3 linked regions of the Oryzias latipes genome follow. The main gene of each other region encodes a partner of the protein of the gene in region 2 in a complex. Links are inferred from orthologs where the notes say so. Each region holds a gene or a part of one and is shown on either strand. Other genes may lie near its edges.

Evidence for each region.
Region 1: scnm1 (region 2) and cwc15 share a complex: the UniProt entries of both Homo sapiens proteins name them as parts of the minor spliceosome. The link is inferred for Oryzias latipes from reciprocal best matches to the Homo sapiens genes SCNM1 and CWC15.
Region 3: scnm1 (region 2) and cwc22 share a complex: the UniProt entries of both Homo sapiens proteins name them as parts of the minor spliceosome. The link is inferred for Oryzias latipes from reciprocal best matches to the Homo sapiens genes SCNM1 and CWC22.

The regions. Positions count from the first base shown.
Region 1 is NC_019872.2:16,001,079-16,004,833, forward strand, and holds the start of cwc15 (spliceosome-associated protein CWC15 homolog), read right to left. Parts: upstream 2,487-3,755; 5' UTR 2,387-2,486; intron 2,031-2,386; exon of another isoform or gene 2,028-2,030; 5' UTR 2,021-2,027; coding exon 1,890-2,020; intron 1,087-1,889; coding exon 974-1,086; intron 866-973; coding exon 765-865; intron 1-764. UniProt on the Homo sapiens protein: Involved in pre-mRNA splicing as component of the spliceosome. Component of the PRP19-CDC5L complex that forms an integral part of the spliceosome and is required for activating pre-mRNA splicing.
Region 2 is NC_019874.2:27,122,254-27,126,008, forward strand, and holds the start of scnm1 (sodium channel modifier 1), read right to left. Parts: upstream 2,609-3,755; 5' UTR 2,517-2,608; coding exon 2,466-2,516; intron 2,247-2,465; coding exon 2,176-2,246; intron 2,103-2,175; coding exon 2,014-2,102; intron 1,595-2,013; coding exon 1,503-1,594; intron 775-1,502; coding exon 674-774; intron 583-673; coding exon 455-582; intron 362-454; coding exon 250-361; intron 1-249. Other genes in the region: lysmd1 (lysM and putative peptidoglycan-binding domain-containing protein 1), read left to right, coding at 3,330-3,512, 3,706-3,755. UniProt on the Homo sapiens protein: As a component of the minor spliceosome, involved in the splicing of U12-type introns in pre-mRNAs. Plays a role in the regulation of primary cilia length and Hedgehog signaling.
Region 3 is NC_019879.2:6,703,839-6,707,593, forward strand, and holds the start of cwc22 (pre-mRNA-splicing factor CWC22 homolog), read right to left. Parts: upstream 2,842-3,755; 5' UTR 2,721-2,841; intron 1,534-2,720; 5' UTR 1,532-1,533; coding exon 1,477-1,531; intron 1,379-1,476; coding exon 1,167-1,378; intron 1-1,166. UniProt on the Homo sapiens protein: Required for pre-mRNA splicing as component of the spliceosome. As a component of the minor spliceosome, involved in the splicing of U12-type introns in pre-mRNAs. Promotes exon-junction complex (EJC) assembly.

The sequences.
Region 1 (3,755 bases), on a different chromosome or scaffold from region 2:
TTCTTTTCCACTGTTTAATGACTTTTAAATAAGTTGACATTTTCAGACGTATTCTCAATAAAAGACATTTACAAGAGAGTACATCAGTCTTTATTTGTAGTGTGCACACTTGGACACTTTTAAGTCAGCTACAGTTATCAGTTTAACTAATGCCACCTTGTTGGAGGTACCAGTGCTGGATGTGTTGCTGGTAGCTGTAGATGTGGATGAGGTTCAGCTTCAGGAGCTGTACTGTGGGACCGACCATAAGAGGCAATGCAGGGAGTTTAGCCTTTAAATACACCAGCCTGGCATTTGGAGAGCCCCAGTCTGCTCAATTTTTCCAGAGGAGGAACAACGGTCATATTTAAATCAAGTTTGTTTGCCACACTTTTTAAATTTTGTGTACATTTTTTTTCTTGAATGAAAAAACTAAGTTTTAAGTTTACCCACAATTGTTCTTTTAGGTGGTCTGATCAGCTAAAATTAACCACAAATGAACCATCTGGGATGTTTCAAGTTTAATGTGTCCAAAGCAGAGAAGTTGTACAAAAGAAATTGTTTGTTAAAAGTCAACTTTACAGTGATTTTTCCCCAATTAAGTCAATCCAGGCATTTTATTGCTAATTTTAATATTTACAGTCTTTAAAGAGAAAGTTTTATAGCACTAAAATATCAATATCTATTCAGATCATGTCAAGTGCAACAGCGAGAAAAGGTCTCATCTCCCAGCCGTAGGTGTACTGATGAAATGTTTTCTTTATTATATCAGTGCAGACACTTACATCAGTGAGAGGGTCATCAGCATCAAGGTTAGCAGCTGGAATCTGATCCAACCTGGGCCTCTTTGATGATGATGAAGATGATGAAGAGGATGTAGTGTGTTCTGGAGAGAAAAAAATGTAAAGACTGCATTTACAGAAAAATACATACTTTGCTTGGTTTATACTTGTGTGTCAAAAACAGTAAGTCTAAAATTTTGATAGAGACTAACCTCTTGGTCCCCTCTCTCTGGTCTTCTCACGTGCTGCTACACGCTCCTTCTCCTCCAGTTCCCTACGGAAATCACGGGCACGCACCTCCTCGGGGGCATCCTGAGTGGGCTGTCTAAGGGATCATAGCATTTTCAAGACTAAGTCCCACTACAAACTCCAAAAACCACTCATGAGATAAATAGTAACATGTACAGTTGGGGGAAAAAGTATTTCTCAGTAACATATTTAGCAAATTGTCTAATTTAAAAAGATGAGAGGTCTATGATTCCATCATATACACTACAACTGTGAGAGATTGAATGCATATTAAAAAAAAATATATAGCGAAAATTGTAAAAATATTTTTTGTAGAACTTGCACAATTGGTAAATGCAAACCACCCCTCCTACACACTGTAGCTACAATTTAAACATAACCTGCAGCAAACAAACCATCAAGAATTATCAATACTAAATGATGTACTCCAAATGTACAAAAGCTTTATGGTTATACAATTTAGTTGATAACCATTTTAATACTGAGCAATGACTTATTAGATGCAAGATATTTGTGAGCAAATTATTTAACATTTTCTTAAGGGTCATGGAGAGACACTAAATAGACAAGAAAATGCACACATGCCCCCCCCCCCCCCCATGTCATAAACTGATTCATGTGATGCTCCAACGTGAGGTTAGCTTAATTGTACCCAACACATTATACATGTAGACATTTAATCAAGTGTAGATTTATGTTCCACTTTTTAATAATTATAGCACAAAAAGACTAATTTAATCAATCCGGTTTGACCATTTCCCAAATAATTCAGATTGAATCTTCGAGAATCTTAACATGATTAAATATGTTTCTTTCAAACAATCGCTTTCTTTTTCAACTGAGCTGTCGCAGCAGAGTTTAATAGGAACTAAAAACCACCTGTATTTGATCTTGGTGTGACCTGGAAGATCTCGGCTGGAATATTGCTTGGACAAGGCACTCAGATCGCCTTCTCCTTTTCCTCTCCCTCCTCTCGCCGGCTCAAACGTTGGTCTTGCTGCGGTAGTCATCCCTAACCTGCTTCAACAACAACACGGTATTTGTCAAACATGAGTACAGTTATTTTCAGTTAGCTACTGTACTTTAAACGCAGAACAAACAAGGTAACATCAGTTGTATATAACAAAACATATACATACATTTATCGATTAAACAGACTTTAATACTTATAAAGGGTATTACTAGCCACCAAATTTGATTATGCTAACACTCAGACAAGACAAAAAACTCATTTTGGGCTCTTTAGAAAACTTATTTGTTTTAAGATTCACTGCACACTAATCAAACGAGATGTATGGCTACATTTATCATATTTATACCGTTTTAACAAAAAAACATCTGTAAAAAAACGTCTTTGACTTGGAAAAAATACTCACGATTCCACTACACGGCTAGCGGAAAGAGGATACCATAGAACGTCACTTCCGGATTGAAATTGCTGTTGCGCATGCGTCAAGAATACGATTCTGTTGGTGCGTTTAAAAAGAATTGGAAAATGCATTACTCATTTCAAATGTAATCTGATATTTATCGTAAAGAAATTACTATATTGTACCAAAGGAGAAAGAATTAGCACAAAAATGCTTTGTTACACCTTTCTTTTTCAAAATGCTGTGGTGATATTCCAGGGTACATGGTTGAATTCTAAAGCATTACAGCCAAAAATGTCTATTACTGATTTCAGCAAACCAACACTCACATTTAAAATGAAAAACATATAAAACCTTTGAGCACTGGTGTAAACAAGGAAGTGTTTACGAGGAGTCATCTTGTCTCTTCTTTTGAAGTAACCGGTAGAATTACTGTAGAAATGTGCGATTAGGGTTTGCAAAACATTTTACGTGGCCACCATGGGGCAATGTGCATCAGGTTCAGTGTCTTCCTGTAGCTTAATTTCTCCACTCAAAGTGAACATTAACATCACAACATGATTTTTAAATATAGTTTATTCCAAATTGAACACATTATTTTTAACTTTATTTAACAGTCTTGATACGTAGATTCTATTAAACATAATTGAAACACTTGTAACAGATGTAAAATTCCTGTCTTTTTCCATTTTAGACCTGATGAGTCTTCATCCTTAGGTTTTGAGATGTTCTTCTCAGATAATATGCCTTCCTCTTTAAAAGGATGTTTCTCTGGATTTGTGCCGTTGGACTCTTTGCTGCCTTTGGCTTTAACTTCAACTACAGAAACACTGGTTTATATTTGTTCAGTGTTTGCTGTTTAAGTTTGATGAGTTTATTTTATTCTTTTCCAAAGATATATCAATACATAATTGTGAAAATACAAATCTAAAACACCTCTTAGGCTCAAAAATACACTCTTAAATGAAAGGGAGAAGAGAGAACATGATTTGCCCCTTTTCCCCTTAATACTGAACAATATTTGGATTGCACCAAACTTGTCCCTCCCCTCCAATGTTTTAAGAAATGTCTGAGAAATGACAAAAGTATTAATCAATTTATAAATAATTTAATGAAAATCAGGCATAACTCTGGAATTTTTGTACAATAATTAACTAGTGAAATGACTGGACAAAGTATTGGTAACTTAAACTTCATATTTTGTTTTCTGTGCCTTTCAATTAGAATTCTGCACCTGTTTGCAGACATTTTACCAACTTTTTGTTAAAAAAAAAAAGCTTCATTTTTAGTGTGTTTGGAATGATTGCTATGCTGGAAGAGCCAGCTATGTTCTGACCTCAGCATGCTTACTCTAACAAATGCAAGAGGTGTTCAT
Region 2 (3,755 bases):
ACAATGTACAGAAATGGTGCAAACACAAATAAATGAGTGAGAGAACAAATCAAGGAAGCAGAATAATTTCAACGGGCCGCATGTGAAGATGCTGGAGAGGAGCTGGGTGTGGAGCCTGAGGCAGAGGACTTCACTCATTTTATCAGTTTACTGCTTGGACTGTTAAGCTAAGAGTTTCTAAAACATAGTTTCTGTGGCCTGCAGATTCAATCTAGCACTGGTGACAAAAAGGAAAAGAGAGTTTTGCACCTTTTCAGTTTGAGGTAGTGCTCCATCTCTCTTCGCCTCTGCGGCGTTATGAGTTCTGCCGTTTGTCTCGACTCAGACTGACACTGAATTCTGTCTTTGGATGAACAAGACTCTACAAAAATAAAAATAAAAGCATCAGTTGAAACAGAACCATCAGTTATTTTAAATAAAATATCAAAATATGATTTCTAGGAGCAGATTTTACCTGTGAAACAATCACTAGAATCACTTGTGGATGCATTGTCAGAAACTTCTGGTTTCCAACATGCAGATGGGAAATTGTGTTGAAATGTGTTTCCAGCAGTGCTCGACTGTCCTTTATTCAACTTTGTACTGAAAATAAATAAATAAACAGATATATGTTCACATCTTTACTTCCATTTTAAACTACAGATGAGTATTTTAACCTTAAATGATGACCAACCTGGTTTTTCTGTGGCAGCTGTTGTATGGAACAGTCTTCAGAAGAGCATGATGGGTAAGTTTCCGGGTCTGTGCCAGTAAAGGTGCCGAACTGGAGGGCTCCTGCAATCACAACAAAAGAGACTTGTCTCTCAGACTGAGCTCTGACAGACTCCAACTCAGCTAAATGCTCCATGTGTCCTCTGGCCGGCTCTGCTCATGTTTTCCACCAGCAGACACCCGCTTCAACTCACGCTGCAGAGTCTACAGGTTGTCTGAGTCACGTGGCAGCCACAAGCACGTACTGGATGTCACACAAGAATACGACTTATTCTTATATCCATATTTAACATGTTACAAGCAGCGACATAATATCTTTACAGGAGTACAGGAGGTGCATCCTTTCTACAACTGTCATTCCAAAACAAGTCAATAAAGTACTATAATTCAGCAACAATAAAAATTTAACCACAATAACACTAAGTATTTAGTCGTCTCTGTAAAAACGGTCGGTCGGTCGGTCGGTCGGTCGGTCATCACACGGTCATCATGTCATTGTTTCGTGTGATGGTCGGTCGGTCGGTCATCATGTCATTGTTTCGTGTGATGGTCGGTCGGTCGGTCATCATGTCATTGTTTCGTGTGATGGTCGGTCGGTCGGTCATCATGTCATTGTTTCGTGTGATGGTCGGTCGGTCGGTCGGTCGGTCGGTCGGTCGGTCGGTACGTCGGTCGGTCGGTACGTCGGTCGGTCGGTCGGTCGGTACGTCGGTCGGTCGGTCGGTCGGTCGGTCGGTCGGTCAAAATACAAAATTACCCGCAGGTAAAATGATCAAGTTGAAGCTCCAAACCTCTTTGTCTTCTGCTCTGACATAATCTTCATGTTTTCTTTTTGCAATTTCATTCTTGAACTTTGACTTTTTCCCATAAAAGGATTTTAAACCTAAAACACAAAACAAAAAAACACAACGGATATAAAAGCATGCACCAAAAGCACATGCATAATAAAACTTTATTTAAAAAATAAGAAAACATATATGACATATTTACATGTCACACCCATTCTGGAGTGACATTTACATCCATTTTCTACCAATACTCTGTTATGTAGCATTAATGTCGGAAAACAACGAACGTCAGGCGAATGATGCTCACACCTCCTGTCATTAGTGCCTTAATATGACACACCTGTTACATCAACAACACAGAAGATCTGTTTGGGGCCAAATGTGCAAACACTATCTGAGAGAAATGAGCCTACAGTGTTTTGTCTACATCTAAATATGACCACCAAGACACTTTTATACTGGGGAATTTAAAAATTTTCCACACTAAGAGTCACTTTTTAAGGAGGATATTTACCTTCTAAATGCTTCTTCCCTTGCCTGTGGACTGTCAACATGTCAACTGTGTCAAACACTGGGCGATACGAACACACAAGGCACGTGTACCTGTGTGGAGCGAACGCAGAAAGGTGAGTTACTTTCACAACAAAACTGACACTTAGGGTTTAGTTATATTCACCTGCCATTACTCAGAAGAGCAGCTTCATCTTCCGGAATAAAATTGGACAAAAGGTCAGATACACGCCGTTTCTGTAAACCAACAGCCCAAATCATCAGTAAGTATTTCATAGCAGATGAAAAATTTACATTAAATACTTTACCAAACAGTTTTCATTTACTCTGTGTACATTATATCCATATGAAACTTGCTACTAGCTAAGCTAGCAAAACAAATAAAAAACGACAGCGTATGAACTTTAAGAAAGCCTATTCTTTTATGAATACAATGTATTATATCATTTTAAATACCTTTAAAATATTAAGTTGGCTCCCATCATTTCCTTCCCTTTTGAATGACATAATTATATCGAAGTAAATCAATGGTATAAACACCAGATTAACGGCTAGCTCAATGAGTTAACTCATTGGGCTAGCTTCTCTATACGTCACACTATCCCGGAAGTGTTGGTAGTGCTGCATTCAGGGACAAACATGTACACTTTTTTTGTCCACGATTTCCAGCTAACCACGTTGCAGTTTCCCATCGTACCATTTCATTTATTTATGGTCAAGTTAACTAGTCTAACAAACCATTGTTAAAATATTATTTTACATTTAAATTGATTTGTTTGCATGTACTCTTAAGAAAGCATCGATGTGAAATGTTTATAACATCACATATTTTTTGTAAATAAATCGCGAAGGGGAAAAAAACTGCCTATTTTAATCAATGAAATTTTAATTCATACTAAACAAACTCTGATTAAAATAAAAAAAATAAAAATGTTATGTTTTCATTTAAATTTCAGTATTCAAATTACTTTGAACACAACCCACCCAATGAGAGCCGTCATTCACAGCGGCAGCCATGGCAACAGACTGCAGCTGACTGAAAAAAACAACATATTTAAAGTTTTTAGATATGTTTTTAGATTGTTTACTGACAGTTAAGCTATGTTTAAGGTGTTTTAAGTAGTTTTTCTTCAATTCCCGACTGTTGATAAGGTTCAGGCAGTGCCATTTCGGCACTTTGGCAAGAAGAAGATGAATTAGTCGATACTTTAGCAGCTAGCAGGTGAACTGGGCTTGCTAGTTTAGGACGACGTCAAACCAGTTCCAACATTAAAATTGCGTACGTGTTACTGATGATTTTCACATAAATAATTATCGGATATGTCCGGACAACGAGCGGCTTTGCCATCCGGGAGAGGCGGTCTTCTTCGCGGAAGCCGAGCTATGTCGTACGGCAGCTTGATGCGATCGTCGCCGGCGTCTCCGGTCCGCCAGAGACACGTTGAACACACGGTTCAGTCCGGAGACACGCTCCAAGGTCTGGCCCTGAAGTATGGAGTCTCTGTAAGTATAATAAACCAGATTTGTACTCCCTACTTTAGACAATTAAAACAATTTGAAATATTAACAAGGAACATCTTTTGTTTCCACACTAAAAGTAAAATCTATTCATTGGTTTTATGTTATGACATAATTTTTTTTGATTCTGACATTTGTTAGTTTAAAAAAAAAACAACAACATTCTTCTGTCTTCCAGATGGAACAAATCAAGAGAGCAAATAGGCTTTACACCAACGACTCTATTTT
Region 3 (3,755 bases), on a different chromosome or scaffold from region 2:
TGGGTTTTATTTTAGCTGTAACCTATCACATGATCGAGAAGAGCGCCTCGGCCTGCATCAAGAGTGACATAAACGGATAAAACAGATAATCGGGCAATTTTTCAATATAAAACATCTTTCAGATTCGGAAATAAATAAAACGGAAGTAATGCAAGCTTCTTTTTTTTTTCTTCCTCCACGGCCCGTTAACAAATGACTCACGGACCGGTACCAGTCCGCGACCCGGGGGTTTGGGGACCGCTGCTCTAGAACATTCTGCTAGACGGAAATCAGAGTTTTCCAACACCAGTGCTGGAAATTGCAGCCCAAATCAGGACTGACTGTGGAGATTTCACACTGGACCCCTAGCAGTTTGGGTTCTGCTCCTCACCAGTCCAAATAAACGGCACACTTATCTCTCATAACAAAACAGGACCGTGGACCGCTGGCCAACAGTCCAGTCCTTCTTCATTTTGGCCCCATTGAAATGTTTCCTCCGTTTGTCCAGGCTCAGAAGTGGTTTAACCCGAGGAACCCGACAGTTGTAGCCCATCTCCCACATGCGTCTGAGTGTAGTGGTTCTTAAAGCTGTTCCTCCCCCCCATTCCACTCTTTCTGGATTTCTGGAGCTTCTTTAATCTTTTGATAATCCGCTGAAGCCCACGGTTGTCTCTTTTGCTCCTGCATCTTCTCTTGCCACATTTTACCCTTCCATTGAACTTTCCAGTGATCTGCTTGGACAGCTGTGAACAGCCAGCTTCCTTAGCTAGGAACGTTGGTGACTGATTACCCAGACTATGGAGGGATCAATGACGGTCTTCTGGCCAGTTGTGAAGTCTAAAGTCTTCCCCATATTGAACCTTGATTTTAGTAGGTGATTAGTTGATGAAACCCAATTTAAAACATTCATGCTAGCTAAATTTAGGAAAATATTTCCATAGTATTCCAATTTTTTTTGAAATCCTGTTTTTTGTGGGTTTCATAAGCTGGAATCCTAATTTATGCAAAATAAATAAATAAATAAAAAAATCAAATAAATACGCGAAATTAATTAAACAAAGGGACATGAGATTAGATTCTATTAAAGTGTATTTTTTAATGCAATTATGGAAATGAACATACTATTGTTATGATATTCAAATTTTTGGAAGTTGATTGTAAAACAGTACGTATATGAAATAACTCACTTTGATTTCAGCAACACTACTCCGTATCTTCCTTAGTGCACCATGATGTTCATCTTCACTGCTGCTGCTGTCTGAGCTGCTAGAGTTGGGGCTCTTGGATGAGTTCCTGGACATTGGAGACTTTCTTTGTGGAGACTGCTGCTCTTTGGTGCTTTCCTCCTCTGCACTAACTTGTTGGAGTCTCCCATCAGCTGGATTGGATTCGTCACCTGCTGTACATCCAGAACAGACCCAAATAACAATTTGATATCAAATCAACTGATGCCGACATTTGATTACTACACTATTGTTCTGGCAGTGTTTTACTCACCTCTAGGTGGTTCATTTTGAGGAGTGGGACTTTGGCTTTTATCTGAAGAGTCCATCACTAAAAGAAAAGGAGGCAGAAAAATAGTCAATCTCCTGTATAGTGAACGGAAAACATAAAATCTTCTTTCACAACACAACTTAAAAGCATTTAAAAAGAAGAAGAAAAAAATCACAACATTTTTATATTTGACTATCTATCTCCCATCAATGCAACAGTCTTTTGTGATCAATAAACAATTATGAGGGATGACTTTTTTGGGGTGGTGGTGGTGGGGATGGTTCTTAAGAAGGCCAATAAAGTAAAAAAGCAAACGAATAAATAAATAAAAACCTCTTTGGAAATCTAATCAGTAACCAGAACATCAGGTGAATTCTAAATGTACAGTAATATTGGGTATGAGCAGAGCAAGACTATAAGTGACATTAATAATAATAATAATAATAATAATAATAATAATAAATGTTGACTTGATTTTACAATCCAGTTTAATTCATTTAGTACGGAAAAAGTTTAAAAGAATGAGAATAAGGTACACATGGGTTGGTTGCCCATGAATACTGGATTAAGAAAAGAGCCAATTTATTTTTCTTATTTTGGTAAAACTTCAAGTGCACTAATGTCCTTATTCTTACTTTCAAGCAGTAGGAATCGAACTAAAGTGTCACCCTGGCTCAAAGTTTGAGACGCCTTATACTCGGACTTGTTTGTTTTATGTGGAATCTCCAGTTTAACTTAAGGGCAGCCATACATTTGAAGAACTTAGATGGCAAACCAGTTATTTTGGAACCACACCAATCATGTTTTTTTTAAATGTAGTAATAAACAGTTTCTGAAGTGGTAAGGTCTTTCAGATCCATGGAAAGAATAAAATAATCAGCGATCCCTAGTTGCTATCTATTTTTTTAGGTATAATTGTGTCATTTTATTATCCACTGAGCTAACAACAGGTAGCTCCAGGAACACTGAGAAACAAAATACCTACAACTAATCACAAGTCAAATATTAAGCTAATAAATATCAACACTAGTCGAAAATAAAAGATTTGTTTAACAATGTTATAAACAAACTAATTTTTACACCAGAGACTGACGGCAACCATGTGAATCTGGATGAGCTACTCGGCTAACTGCTAATGCTACATAAACGCCAAAAAGATACACGACTAATTTTTAGCTAGTCTGTTAGTAAAACTAGAAAATCGTTCATTCATAGTCTTTGAATTAAAACTATATTCCGTTACTTGCCGTTTAGTAGCCTTCAAATTCCCTTTGTCGACTATATTTCGAAATGTCTCTTTACTGTCCTGTTAAGGCGGAAAAACTTAAAATGTAGTTCCGGTTCACAACGCGCATCCGGATTTCACAATAAAAGTTTTCTTGCTGTGTGGAACAGCAGAGTAACCGAGGGAATGGATTTGTTTAATAAGTTTGACATGTCATACTACTGACGTAATTTGTACGTTCAACTAACGACTCAATTTAACGCTTAAATTAGATTGGAGTTCAATTCTCCCTGTGTTTTCGTGTCGCTTTGTCAAACTTCGGCCGAAGGGAGAAAACACAAGTTAACACACTCTCCTCTGTACTTTCAAAATAAAAGTAAAAACAGAATCCAAACGACTTTGCCCAGAGACCATAATTATATTGCACTACTGATAAAAACCTAATTTTCGACGTGAAGAATGTATTATATTTTATGATACAAAATAGATATATTTTAAAATCCTCCACAGATCGCAGACCCAAACAACACAGACACTTTGAATTGACACTTTGGAATGGACGTGAATGCTGAATCCTCCAAAGATGAAGATTTTTTACATTGATGATTAGTAGTTTTTATGAAAGTGTTGTTCTGAGGTTTGTGAGAAAAAACTCACTGAAAAAACAAAAACAAATGGACAACAGTGCTTTAAGACCTAACCTTGCAAAAATGAACAAATGTTAACAAAAAATTGCCGGTAGCTCCCATTTCTGTACAAAGAACTGAATGAAATAACTTCAAAACATAAATCAAGAGGTGGTCATTAGCTTTTAGGAAAAATAAGTACATTTTGGTTGTATTCTTAGAGTCGTTGGCATTGATATTTTGCCCACCTTGCAGCCAGGGGTGACCACAGCTCAGCAAACCTTACTAATAAAGCGGTCAAAATTTGTAGTAAAGATGCTCACCTTGTTTTCAGTGATGACACTGAACTAGAACCTTTTGAAATTAAAACCAAATTAATTTATCATCTTTGTATAAAAGCATTACTTTTCATTTTGGCTGCACATTCTAAA